2 linked regions of the Rattus norvegicus genome follow. The protein of the gene in region 1 interacts with the protein of each later gene in a biochemical or structural test. Links are inferred from orthologs where the notes say so. Each region holds a gene or a part of one and is shown in the gene's direction. Other genes may lie near its edges.

Region 1 (6,378 bases):
ATGTGGCAATAGAATAAAGCTGTGAGCAAACAACATTTTAGATGGCTTCTAAAAAAAATAGGTGAATTTTTCCCTCAAGTTACTAGAGCTCTTACAGACAATGTACTCTTCATCTCCCAAATCCTGTACTCTAATAGAATTTATTCTTGCTTAGTCTTACTAAGGTTTTAGAACTATAGTTAACTGTTTTTCTTGTGTGGTATTGTTAGTCATTTTTTTAAATTAATGAACTTATAATAGTTGATATTATTTCAAAATATTAAAGATCATAATTGATCTTTTGATTGTTTATAAGAAAACCTGCACAAAACCACCAGAACAGGGAAAATAGTTACAATATACCAGCTGTGCTTTGTAGAATTATGTCTTACACTCTTTTTTTTTTTTTTTTTGTAGAATTGGGGAGGGTAGAACATTTCTTTATGTTAACTATACCCTATTATCACTGTACATTTGGTTATTTTGTTTTCAAAGTACTGTGTTTTTCATGTGTGTTTGTTTTCTGTTTAGCCTCGTCGTGGCCGTAGCATGTCGGTTTGTGTTCCCCATCTTTCTGCTGTTCCCTCTCTATCCCGCATCTCTCCCAGTGCTCCTTCCACCCCACCACCAGTGCTGTCTGCACCTCTTTGTCCTTCCCTCCTTCGGAGTGCCCCTGAGGAAACTTTTGCGGAAAAACTCTCTAAAGCATTGGAGAGTGTCCTGCCTATGCACTCTGCCTCCCAGCGCAAGCACCGACGCTCCAGCCTGCCTTCCCTCTTTGTCACTACTGTATGTAACTGTAAACTTCCTGACAAGTGAAAAACCATTACCAATGAATACATCCGGGCATAGAGACTATATGCTTAAAAAAGCAAAACTAAACTATTAGCAAATGTTGTGTTTTAAGATAACTATTCCTATAGGAAACATTTTTGTAATAAGACTTTAAATGGGAATAAAAAGCAAAGAGGCAATGAAAGAGAATGCTTATAATGTCATTAGCATATATTAATAGAGTTTTTATTATACTTTTCTATCTTCTATTGATAAAAGGGTTCTCATTTTAATATCTTAGCAAGAAGTATGTGGATTACTTAATTCAACTCATTAGCCTAATCAAAAGTAGAGTCTACCAAACACTGACCAAGTATGTTTTCTCCTCAGTTTATTCTTAAGAAATACAACTAATTGAGTCCTTTGTTTTTGGTTTTTTGGTTTTTTTGGAGCTGAGGCCCAAACCCAGGACCTTGCGCTTCCTAGGCAAGCGCTCTACCACTGAGCTAAATCCCCAACCCCAAGTCCTTTGTTTTTTAAACCAATCAATCGAGGAGTAAAAGTTGATTTTAATTCAGTCATTTGTATGAAGTGAAATGTCGGGAAATCAAAAGGCTATTTCCTGTCTGGGAAGCACTTTCTTTTCACCTCTTAGATTACATAAAGTGGGGCATAGACTCGAGTATATTAGATACATATATAACATGTAATTTTCCTTGTGTCCATTAATGTCTGTGAAACATACAACCTCTCAAATTACATTAATTGTTATGAGACCTTGTTTGCTGCTTTTCCAAACAGAATATTCTGAACTAATAACACCAGAAACTTAAGACTTTTACTTAGGAAAAAGATTAACTGTACAATGTTTTATAGCCTCAGGACACAAATTGAATAATCAATAAAATATGAGCACTTTGATTTTATGGAGAAATACTTTAGCAGGTTGAAGAAATGGCTCCGTGACTAAAGTGCTTGCTGCACAAGCATGGAGACCTGAATGCAGATTACCATAACCCATGTGAAGCCTGGTGTGGTAGATACTGTCCATAATCTCGTGTTCCTATTTTGCGATGGGAGAGGATAATAGACTCTGTAGAATCTTATGTGCCTTGCAGTCTGTTGTATACATAATCAAGCAACAGACACCTGTCTCTGACAAGTTGGGGATGATGTCCAACATTTCAGGTTGTCCTCTGTTTTTATGTTGTTAAGGATTGAGCCTGGGCTCTTACATAAGCTCACTTTAGAAGTCCAGTGCATGGTAGAGAAGTATGTATATTGCATTTGGCAAGCTTAGTCTAAATTCTGGAAATAAAACATGCTATTAAATCAGGTTTGCCTTTTTGCCTGATTTGTCAGAATTAGGAAACTCATGGTATTCAGCCCTTAGCAATGATCAGAAGAATGATTTAGCACCTGTAGCTTGTTTTATAGTAAAACTATTAATTGTAGCTTTAAACACAGAAAAGAGCAACAAGTCATTTATCTTTTTATTTGTTTTTTTAAGACAGTGCTCAGGTCTTGTACTCTTACATTCCCCTGTCTTAGCCTCTTGGGTGCTAACATTATTATAAGTATGTTCCACTCTTTTCGGCTTATCTTATACCAAATACCAAAGACCTCTTCTGATTTATACTAGTTAAATTTCTACTGTTAGTTAATGAAAAATAACTGAAGCCTCTAATAGACTAATGTTGTAGCACTATGGAACAGTAGCTTAAATTGAAATATATTTTAAATTATAAAAATAATAAGGTTATTTATTGTCCTTTAATATTCTAACTTTAGCTCTTTCCATTGACAAACATTTTAAGAATGAACACATTTATTATAGGTAAAATAGAATAATTACTTGGGAAGTTGTAATTTATGCCTTTGCTTTGATGGAGCAAGTTTGTGGGAAAGCAGCTTTTTCTTTCATTCAAGGAAGTGCCACAGATTGACTTTATTGGCCCTGGATGTATTTAATGGATTTTTGCTATAAATTCCAAAAGCATTGTTAGTTATTAAAATTTTGGTGTAGCCACTTCATGGGGTTACACAGAACTATCCAGCTGTGCATGTCTGATGTAATTTTACATATTGAATGTATGAATTACTTGTCTTATTCATGTTGATACAGCCTCAGTCCGTGGCGCATCCGTGTGGGGGGACCCCAACATACCCAGAATCACAGATATTTTTCCCAACTATTCATGAACGTCCAGTTTCTTTTTCACCACCTCCTACCTGTCCACCGAAAGTAGCCATTTCCCAGCGACGTAAGAGTACCTCCTTCCTGGAAGCTCAAACTCGCCACTTCCAACCCCTGCTGAGGACTGTTGGCCAAAATCATCTTCCACCTGGTGGCAGCCCAACTAACTGGACACCAGAGGCCATAGTTATGTTGGGTACTACAGCCAATAGAGTAAATAGAGAGCTATGTGAGATGCAGGTCCAACCTGTGTTTGAGACAACCCAGATTTACAGTGACTATAGACCTGGACTAGTACTGGCAGAAGAAGCTCACTATTTTATTCCTCAGGAAACAGTATATCTAGCTGGGGTGCATTACCAGGCCCATGCGGCAGGACAGTATGAGGGTATTTCATACAACTCACCAGTACTGTCAAGTCCTATGAAACAGATAACTGAACAGAAGCCAGTGCCTGGGTGCCCTGCCTCAAGTTCTGTCTTTGAATTTCCTTCTGGACAGGCTTTCCTAGTAGGACACCTTCAGAATTTAAGATTAGATTCTGGACCAAGTCCAGCATCACCCCTGTCTAGTATTTCTGCGCCTAACAGTACAGATGCTACACATTTGAAATTTCACCCTGTCTTTGTACCTCATTCTGCACCAGCTGTGTTAACTCATAGCAATGAGAACAGAAGCAACTGTGTATTTGAATTTCATGCTCAAACACCAAGTTCCTCTTCAGGAGAAGGAGGTGGGATTTTACCTCAACGTGTTTACCGAAATCGACAGGTTGCAGTGGACTCAAGTCAGGAAGAACTGTCTCCTCAGTCAGTTGGATTACACTGCCACCTGCAGCCTGTTACTGAAGAACAGCGTAATAACCATACCCCAGAATTGACCATTTCTGTGGTAGAACCTATGGGACAAAACTGGCCAGTAGGAAGCCCAGAATATTCCAGTGATTCCTCTCAAATTACTTCTTCAGATATCAGTGATTTTCAATCACCTCCCCCTACAGGGGGAACAGCTGCACCTTTTGGCTCTGACGTCTCATTGCCCTATATTCGCCTGCCTCAGACAGTGTTACAAGAATCCCCACTATTCTTCTGTTTCCCCCAAGGAACCACATCTCAGCAGGTCTTATCTGCTTCATATTCTTCAGGAGGATCTGCACTCCATCCACAGGTTATAGGAAAACTTTCACAATTCTTTTAAAATACCCTATTATGCACCAATGCATTTAAATTCTCTGTCTCATTTCCCTGAATCATGGATTTATAAGAAATGTTATTTTCTTAGTAGGATTTCTTTTGTGGTTATAAATATATGTACTAAAAAAATGAACTTTAAAGTGGAAAATACCTGGTTTACCTGTGATTTTAGTTGTCAGAATCAATGACTAATATCTGTGGAATTTTGTGGTAGTAGTAAAAATGCAATTGTCTGTCAGTCTTGATTATTTATAGTAAGATGATTTAGTATATAATTGCTTCTTCTAAATAAGTTTTTAAAAATGAGAAACAAACCATAAAGCAAAATGGCTTTTTTGGTGTCATGTTAAGAAACACAGAACTTTTCATCATAAGAACTTAAGAAAACATAATTTAGGAGTTTAGCTTAATAAATGAAGGTGCCATTTTGAGATGGTATCCGTCAAATCACTATACTAAAGATATTAATAAAATATTAAACTAAAATTAAGGACTATGTCTAATATTAATGACTATTAGAGCCTATTATATAATGTTTTTATTAGGTTTTCATGAGTTTATGATAACATATTACATAGTTGGGAACAGTAGATCTTTCAGACCCTGTTCTCAATAAATACATGTAAAACTTTAATCACACAGGTGAGCGTATATACATACTAATGAACATTTACACAAAGACATAGAAGTAAGGCAGTCAGCAATGACTATCTCTTATCAGTTATTTAGAGTAGTGTTTAAGAAGCAAAAGGACCCTGAAATTTAAACAGTGTGGACATGCTGTATGCTTACATTATCCTCTAAGCTTTGCAAAGGAAAAATATTTTTTTTAAAGAAAATAGATAATTAAAGTTTTAGTGGAGTATGATACATCCATGTAAACTTCTGCTACATTGGAATGAAACAGTAAAGGTCTAGCCTTCTCATTTTCTTAACGTGTTTATATACATAGTATACGTGGATTAATTTTCCTAACATATATTCTTACACTCTATTCTTAGTTAATTTGACTTCTTGTTAATTGGAATGCACTGTTCAGTTTCTCAGACCCAACGTGGTTGACATTCTGGGTTGGTTAATCCTTTATTTTGAGTGAGATTCCTCTGGTCGTCATAGAATTTTATTTATTTATTTATTTATTTTTAGTAGTATCTCTTATAAGTAGCAGCCATTTCCCCTAGTTAACAATCAGAATGACTCAAGATATTTCTACATTGCCTGGACAACCGTTATATGCCTGTTTAGGAGTTGGTTTCTAACAGTTCTTTCACATTTCTCATCAGAGTTACTACAATACTACAAGAAAACTCAAAAGGGAACCAAATTAACAGTTTTGAATGTGGTTTTCTTTAATTGTCAAGAATAAATTTTTTCATATTGATATCTTACCACATTTTCCCTGTGACAATTTTATTGTGAATCTGACTATTCAAGCCAGCTAAAACTGGAACTATCAATGTGTTTGTGGTTTTGTCTTTCTGTTTGTGTTTACTTGAGATGTGATCAGAAATGTTCTATGATCTTTTTTCTGAACTTACCTTACCAAAAAATCCGAGGTCGGTCTTGTACTACAGCATTAAGCTGATGTTTCATTTTGATCAAGCAATCTTCTCAGGATCTGAAGTATTTATACAAAAATCTAAACTTTGTATATAAACTTTCTAATTTGTATGTGCTTTTTGTTCTTCAGGCACAGGGGCAGAACCAGGGCCAGCCATCAAGTAGTTTAGCAGGGGTTCTATCTTCACAACCCGTCCAACATCCTCAGCAGGTAAAAATGTCACATTGCTATATTAATGTTTTAGCAGTAGCCACAGGCACTGTTTTATATCTATATCAGTAGATTTCTGATATAAATGGGTTGCTAAGTTTTTGAAAGAGTAATTTTCATAACATGTTTTATGTACCTATGAGCAATTTAAGAGATAAGTGTTGAAAAGAATAATTGTGGACTGGAGAGATGGCTCAGAGGTTAACAGCACTGGCTGCTCTTCAGAGGTCCTGAATTCAATTCCCAGCAACTACATGCTGGCTCTCAACCATCTGTAATGAAAGCAGATGCCCTTGCCTGGTGTGGAGGCATACATGCTGGCAGAGTGCTATAATAAATCTTTTTTTAAAAAAGAGAATTGTTATATAGTTATAAATTATATCTCCCTTCCTAAGTGATTTTATGCATAAAGTAAACCATACAAAGAATATCTTTGTTTCTATATATGTTTATGACTTGTCCAT
Region 2 (6,378 bases), on another chromosome or scaffold:
CAGAAGACAGCGACTACATCCACAGTGGAGTCTCTGGCTCTGAGGGCGGTAAACGCAGTGTTTTTTTGTTTGTTTGTCTGTTTTTCTCTACTGAACGTCTCTCTGACGGCTCCTCAGTGAGCATGAGCTAGGAAGGACACAGATGGTTGTTGCAGCAGGACTTCTCCCGCTGAGGAGAAAACCTGCCCGACTGCTGCACTGCTCCAGAGAGGAGGCATGGAGTTCAGAGGTCACTGTCCCCAATTTGGTCTGACTGCGCACAGATACTGGGGCCAAATTCCATAAGATTCTCTTGGCTTCCCCCGTGATAACCCTATAGTTGTTACGACTCCAGCCAGGACATCTGTGTCCCTGGTAGCAAGAAACAGGAAGGGTCACCCCTGCATCGGAGATGCCGAGGGCATCCTAGAAATCTCCATCAGACTTCTGCCAAGGGCTCAGGGTCACCTAGCTGCATGGCATCGTGGGAGATATATTTTTAGTCATCCAGCTTGTAAAATAGAAGACATAGAAGGGAGGTCGGGACCGGTGCCCGGTGGGGCATCCTCAGGTATTTGTTTCGGGTCTTACAAACGTTCCACTCTGAAAGTTTAATGGTTCACATCTACGGCAGAGTTGGGATGGACCCCTCCCATCTTGCCCGCTTCCCTGCATGCCATGTCTTGGTGGTCAGTGTTCACCTTACGTAGATTGAGGAGTTACTGTGGCCACATGCTAGGCAGAGGTGTACCACGCTGGATATCAAGTCTGTAGCCCTGTCTTGGTCTCTTCCCAGTCTCACCGTCCCTTACACGTCAGGGTGAGGTCTGCGGCTATAGAAATCCCATGATTCTCTTCTCCCCAGGGCTGGCATCCGTAGAAGCCTACAGCTACAAGACCAATGAGTGGTTCTTCGTGGCCCCAATGAACACGAGGCGGAGCAGCGTGGGAGTGGGTGTCGTGGAGGGTAAGGAGGTCGCAGAGGGTGGTGGCTGCTCCTGCCCTAGCCCGTGGGTCTTGTCCTGAGTACAGCATTTTGCTTGATGCTCCCTCTACTGTGACTCCACTCCTCAGGTCACTGGCCGGAGTTAAGTTCCTTGTCTCTAGTAAACAGACAAGGAGGGCCGAGACTTGGTGGGAATGCTCCTGGGCCAATGCTAAGAAGGGGTTAGCAGGTTGGGGGAGAAAGAGGAGACTTGGGGGGAAGTGAGAACTTGTCCCTTGGGCACCTCTGTAAGTATCTCTGCTAACTGTGGGGAATGGGAAATAAGTAGGGAGCCCAGAGTCGACACACACAAACTGGGGCACAGTGTAGCAGGGAGGGGTGATAATTATGCTTGGCTAACACTCTGCTCACCTTCATGTGTTGCATGCTAGCGGGGTCATGAGAAAGACGGGCTGCTTCTTTTTCAGGTCTGACATGTCTCGGGATAGGCTAGGTGTCGGGTGTGGTCTAAGCAGGAGGGTGTGGCCTAAGCAGGAGGGTGTGGCCGGGGCAGGAGGGTGTGGCCTAGACAGGAGGGTGTGGCTTAGGCAGGATGGTGTGGCCGAGGCAGGAGGGTGTGGCCTAGACAGGAGGGTGTGGCTTAGGCAGGAGGGTGTGGCCAGATCGGAGGCTTAGCCAGACGTTCTTAAAACATCTTTCTCTTATTCTTTCAAACCCTCCGGAAGAACTCAGAGGATGGAGTCCTTGTATCATGATAGTAAATAGCAGAGCAGTCCTGAAGGTCTTCTGACTCCTAATCTGGATCCGGAGACGGGTCTCAATTGCTGATAGGTAGGAGCTGTGGGCTCAGTACCCATGCAGAGGCCAGGATTCCGTCCCTCTATCCGGACAAATTGTATCCTCTTGACGAGGCAGACATTGATTTGCCAGCCAGATCCGAGAGCTTTGTCTAGCTAGCTTCTCATTTCCCTTCTTGTTCCTCAGGCAGGAACGGCAAACAGACCCAGGGTTAAAAACAGCAGACGCTTGCGCATACACTCAGGGAGAGACCTTGAGTGGCTGCTTAGCCGATACCAGGTTGGAATGGTTGACGGGAATGGTTAGCGAAGGTGTCTTGATGGTAGAAATTGAAAACACTGCCCACGACAGGGGCTGTGTCAGTGTCAGTCGCGGAAGTGCAGGCAAATGGCTTGCCCCGCAGACGTAGAGGGAAGCCGGGAGGAAAGCACCTGACACCCTGTGGGCTGTGTGTGCTGCCTCAAGAGAGCAGAAAATGTTTCTAAGAACGTGTAGGAGGCACTGGAGTGGACTGTGCTTTGTAACTGCCGAGGACTCAGATTTTTTCTGCACAGTTCCTTCTCCCGGCACGCCCTCTCCTTGCCAAGGTCATGCAGTCTGAATGACCCTGAACCACTAGGGGATAATTTGCTCATTGCCACCTAGAAGAATCCCTCGTAAGGGCAAGCTATGATGTGGGTTGGAGCGTGGACAGAAATGCTCAACAGAGCAGAGGGAGAGTCGCAGAACTCTCCTAAAAATGGGAACCACCTGAGCTGGCACGCGAGGGGAGAGCGGCCTAGGTGAATTTGTTTGTGTGATTTGACCTTGTGAGGGAGGAGCTGTGCAGGAGTTCTTTTCCAGAAAGGTCACCTGAAAAAAAGACTTGGAGAAAAATGCAGCTCAGCAATATAGAATTACTTGATGGTACAGCGCCGTTTTGGACCTGAGAAGCTAACAGTGTAATTGTGGATTTTCACATCCACTATGTTAGGGACTCATATAATGCCCCCTAAATTCTCGATTAGGTAATTCTAACCCTGGGTTTATTTAGCCTGCAGCTAGTGTCCATTTGGTCTGTGGCTGGTGTCATAGTACCCTGTAGATCTGAGGTCCATAGGTGAAGTAGGACTTCTTTCCCTGTCCCCACAGAAGGAACTCTCCTACCTTGTCTAATACTATATGTTAAACCCCATGTGTTTGAATCCTTGTCCCTTGCTCTCAGCTCCCAGCCTCAGATGGACATGACTCTTCCCCCACAGGAGCTCAGCATTATTTTTATTTAGGAACGTTGATGATACTTCAGGGTTCTCGTATGTGGCTCAGAGGACAAAGTAATTGGCTCGCAGAAAAATCCCAGCTGCCTCAGCCCTGGGCACACACAGAACGCTTCACCCAGGGCTTGGGCCCTCTTTTAGGAAACTTCAGCATTGCTTCTAAGCATCTTGGGGCTTCAGAGCAGAGAGAAGGCAGATATGTGGGGGGAGATGTGCCCTGTGTGTGGCGAGCAAGCCAGGTCCTCCCGGAAGGAGGAGACAGAGGTACCTCAGTGGATTTAAGTTGGAGCATCAGGGCTGAGAGATGGCTCAGTGGTTAAGAGCACTGACTGTTCTTCCAGAGGTCCTGAGTTCAATTCCCAGCAACCACATGGTGGCTTACAACCATCTGTAATCAGATCTGATGCCCTCTTCTGGTGTGTCTGAAGACAGCTACAGTGTACTCATATAGAATAAATAAATCTTGTCAGTGCCACTGATGCCACCCTCAGTCATTCTGTCTATTTCAGGGAAGCTGTATGCCGTTGGAGGTTACGATGGGGCTTCCAGGCAGTGCCTGAGCACCGTGGAGCAGTACAACCCAGCCACCAACGAGTGGATATACGTGGCAGACATGAGCACCCGACGCAGTGGCGCTGGTACGTGAGAGCCTCGGGGTGCGGGAGAGCACGGGGAGGGGATACAGGCTGAGGCTAGAGACAACCCCCTGAGCTGTATCTTGTTTCCCTCATCCTGTCTCTCCTCTGGTTGTAAGTAACCCGACCACTGCCACACATCCAGTGGCGCTCACACAAGGATCAGCCTTTCCCAGGGACTTCTTACTCTGCTCGAAAGGCATTGTCACCTTTACTGCCCCGTCTTTACAATTTCCCCATGGCCCAGGCTAGCCTCGAGGTCACCAATAGCCCAGGCTATACCAGAGCATTCGTTTGCGCTCAGGCCTACATCTCTGGGAAGTACAGACCTACTAGGTGCCAGGTGATGTCATGATACAAATATTCCCAGGCTGCCCTGGGACTCGTGACCTCCTGCTTCAGCCTCTGGGATCACAGGTGTGCCTGGCCGATGCCTCCACCCTCCCACTCACTCCTCACCTCACCTCAGTTCACCAAACACTTGATTCCTCTGACCAGAGTTTGAAAGTAAGTCCTGCCCGAGATGGATCACTTTGCCTGAGGTTATAGAATTGGAGACTTGGAGAGTTAGAAATCTCTTTCTGAGGTGATTGATTTTAGCCCTCTGATAGTGAGCCTTGTCCCACCCTGAGGAGGACAGGTGCTATTGCCTTGGTTTAGCTAAGAAGCCTCCCTGGCCAGCTTGAAGCCGGTGTCTTGGGTAAAGGCTGGCATATGGCTGGAGATAAGCCTTGGTCCCCCATGCCCACGTTTTTCTCTATCACGGAGAAGTAATGGCCTCCCAAATAGTTTTCTATCTCTGTCACGTGAGGGAAGTCCAGGCACTTAGGGGCTGTTGCAGCAACTCCATCCTTTCTCATCCGTCTTCTCGGGAGCCACGGTCTGCGAGAGCAAGCCGGGGCCTTGGCCAGTTTCTGGGGCTCCTGGTGACTGATGTGATTCTTGGTTTGGGGCCTCATGACTACTGAAAACAGAAGCTGCCTGCCCTCCTCATGCCCATCCCCCGTCCCGTCTGGTTTTGGAGACTGGACTGTGATCGATCATACATATACATCCTTGTCTAGCATTTTGTGAAAACTAGGTTGTTTTAATTTCTTTAAAAAAAGAAGTATATATATTGGCGTATACGTTGGTGGGCCATGAAGTTGAATGTCTGCACGGGTTCCATTTCTGAAGCATGTGTTTTAGGGGTTTTTCGGGGGAGCCCTCTCTGCTAATCCTGACAACTTGGCCCCTCGTGAATGCCTTGAAGTCAAGAGACCTAAGGATTTAGATCTGAGTGTGCTTGACCTCGCCCTGTCAACTTGGCCAACCCCATTCCCCACCACTGACATTTAATACCAAAGCGCAGGCTGTCCGTGTTCGCAAAGGGCCAGCTCCATTCATAAATCCTGTGACCCCCTCCATCCCCATCCTCATGGTTTAGTGATTATAGCTTCTAACAACTTCTATTTACTTTCTTAGAATCCATGTGTGACTTGGGCCAAGTGCTAAAGGCCTGTGGCAGTAACGCCCCTTCCCTACTGGATGCTCAGAGGGTGGTTGGGGTGGACGTCACCTGTCCCAACCTTGGCTGGAGCCCCCAGACAGTGCCATTACTGTGGTTTCTGTTTCCAGGAGGCCCAGACCTTGGCCACGAAGAGCTCTTTGCTCAGATTACTGTGGAACCCTCCTCGGACAGAACACTGTCCCCGGCTCCCTTTCTTTAATGCTTTGCTCTGATAAAGAGTTAGGGATGTGTCAATGCTAGCACTGGGAGCCCATGTACTTGTCTCAGTGGCTGCTGGTGACAGCCAAAGACCTAGTGACAGGAAGGCTCTGAGTTCCAGCTCCCTGAGGCCCCATGTGGCTCTACACGGGAATCTATGAGCAGGCTGCCAAGGGTTGTGCGAGGGTTGCTGGGGGAATGTCCAGGTGGCTCTTGCTCCCTCATTAGTAGACAGCGGAAGCAGAGGGATAGACATGGTGGTGGAAAGAGACCATCTCAGGGTCCGGGAAGTGTCTGTTCCTGCTCACCCTGGAGGAGGGGAAGAGGTGAAGCAACTGGGGCCTACTGAATTTTCTGAATCTCACAACCTGACATCAGGCATTGTTGGCACAACAGCACCATCTGCTGCTAGTTTAGGGCAACTGCTAGGAACCACAGGCCACCTGCTATGACTTCTGGCAGGGATGATGCATTACACCCTGTCATTTAGACAGTATCTGCAGGAGCCTATCACCAGCGGCCTCAGGGAAACAGACCAGGGCATGACATAAGCAGTTCCTGACCTCATGAAGCCTGTAGTCTCCAGATCCAGCCACCAGACCCACGGCCTGGCTGCACATGGAATTCACCGAGACACCCCTTTGGGCTTCTGACCGGTGTCTCTGGGACTAAGGTTTTATTTCCCCAGAAAGTACCCAGCAGAAAGGATACAGCCGGTCCACAGAAGGCAACAGTCCGTGGAATCACAGGCACATTCCAATTCTCTTTCTCCATGAATGTGGGAGGGAAAGAGCCACCCAGAGGGGGATGTTGGAAAAGCAGGTCCAGGTGTCCCAGCTGCCAGGCAAGCGGTCCTCACTGGCCCTCTCTCTTCCTGAATGACCTGTATCTCATTGCAGCAAAGAACTGCTGGGCTCCTCCCCCAGGTCAGGTCTGATGCTGGCTGCCATCAAGGAGAAGAGGGGCTGAAGGAACAGGCTGGCGGGCAGGGTGTCTCCCCATCAATGACCACAGCACCTGGCCTTGTCTCAACAGATACAAACCTGAATAATAAGA

What was found.
Region 2: of the proteins of Wnk1 (region 1) and Klhl3, one has a biochemical effect on the other in vitro, tested with the Homo sapiens proteins (2 studies listed by BioGRID). The link is inferred for Rattus norvegicus from reciprocal best matches to the Homo sapiens genes WNK1 and KLHL3.

The regions. Positions count from the first base shown.
Region 1 is NC_086022.1:154,834,690-154,841,067, reverse strand, and holds part of Wnk1 (serine/threonine-protein kinase WNK1), read left to right. Parts: exon of another isoform or gene 1-510; coding exon of another isoform or gene 511-768; intron 769-2,878; coding exon 2,879-4,117; intron 4,118-5,833; coding exon 5,834-5,914; intron 5,915-6,378. UniProt on the Homo sapiens protein: Serine/threonine-protein kinase component of the WNK1-SPAK/OSR1 kinase cascade, which acts as a key regulator of blood pressure and regulatory volume increase by promoting ion influx.
Region 2 is NC_086035.1:6,631,081-6,637,458, forward strand, and holds part of Klhl3 (kelch-like protein 3), read left to right. Parts: intron 1-844; coding exon 845-946; intron 947-3,488; coding exon 3,489-3,617; intron 3,618-6,378. UniProt on the Homo sapiens protein: Substrate-specific adapter of a BCR (BTB-CUL3-RBX1) E3 ubiquitin ligase complex that acts as a regulator of ion transport in the distal nephron.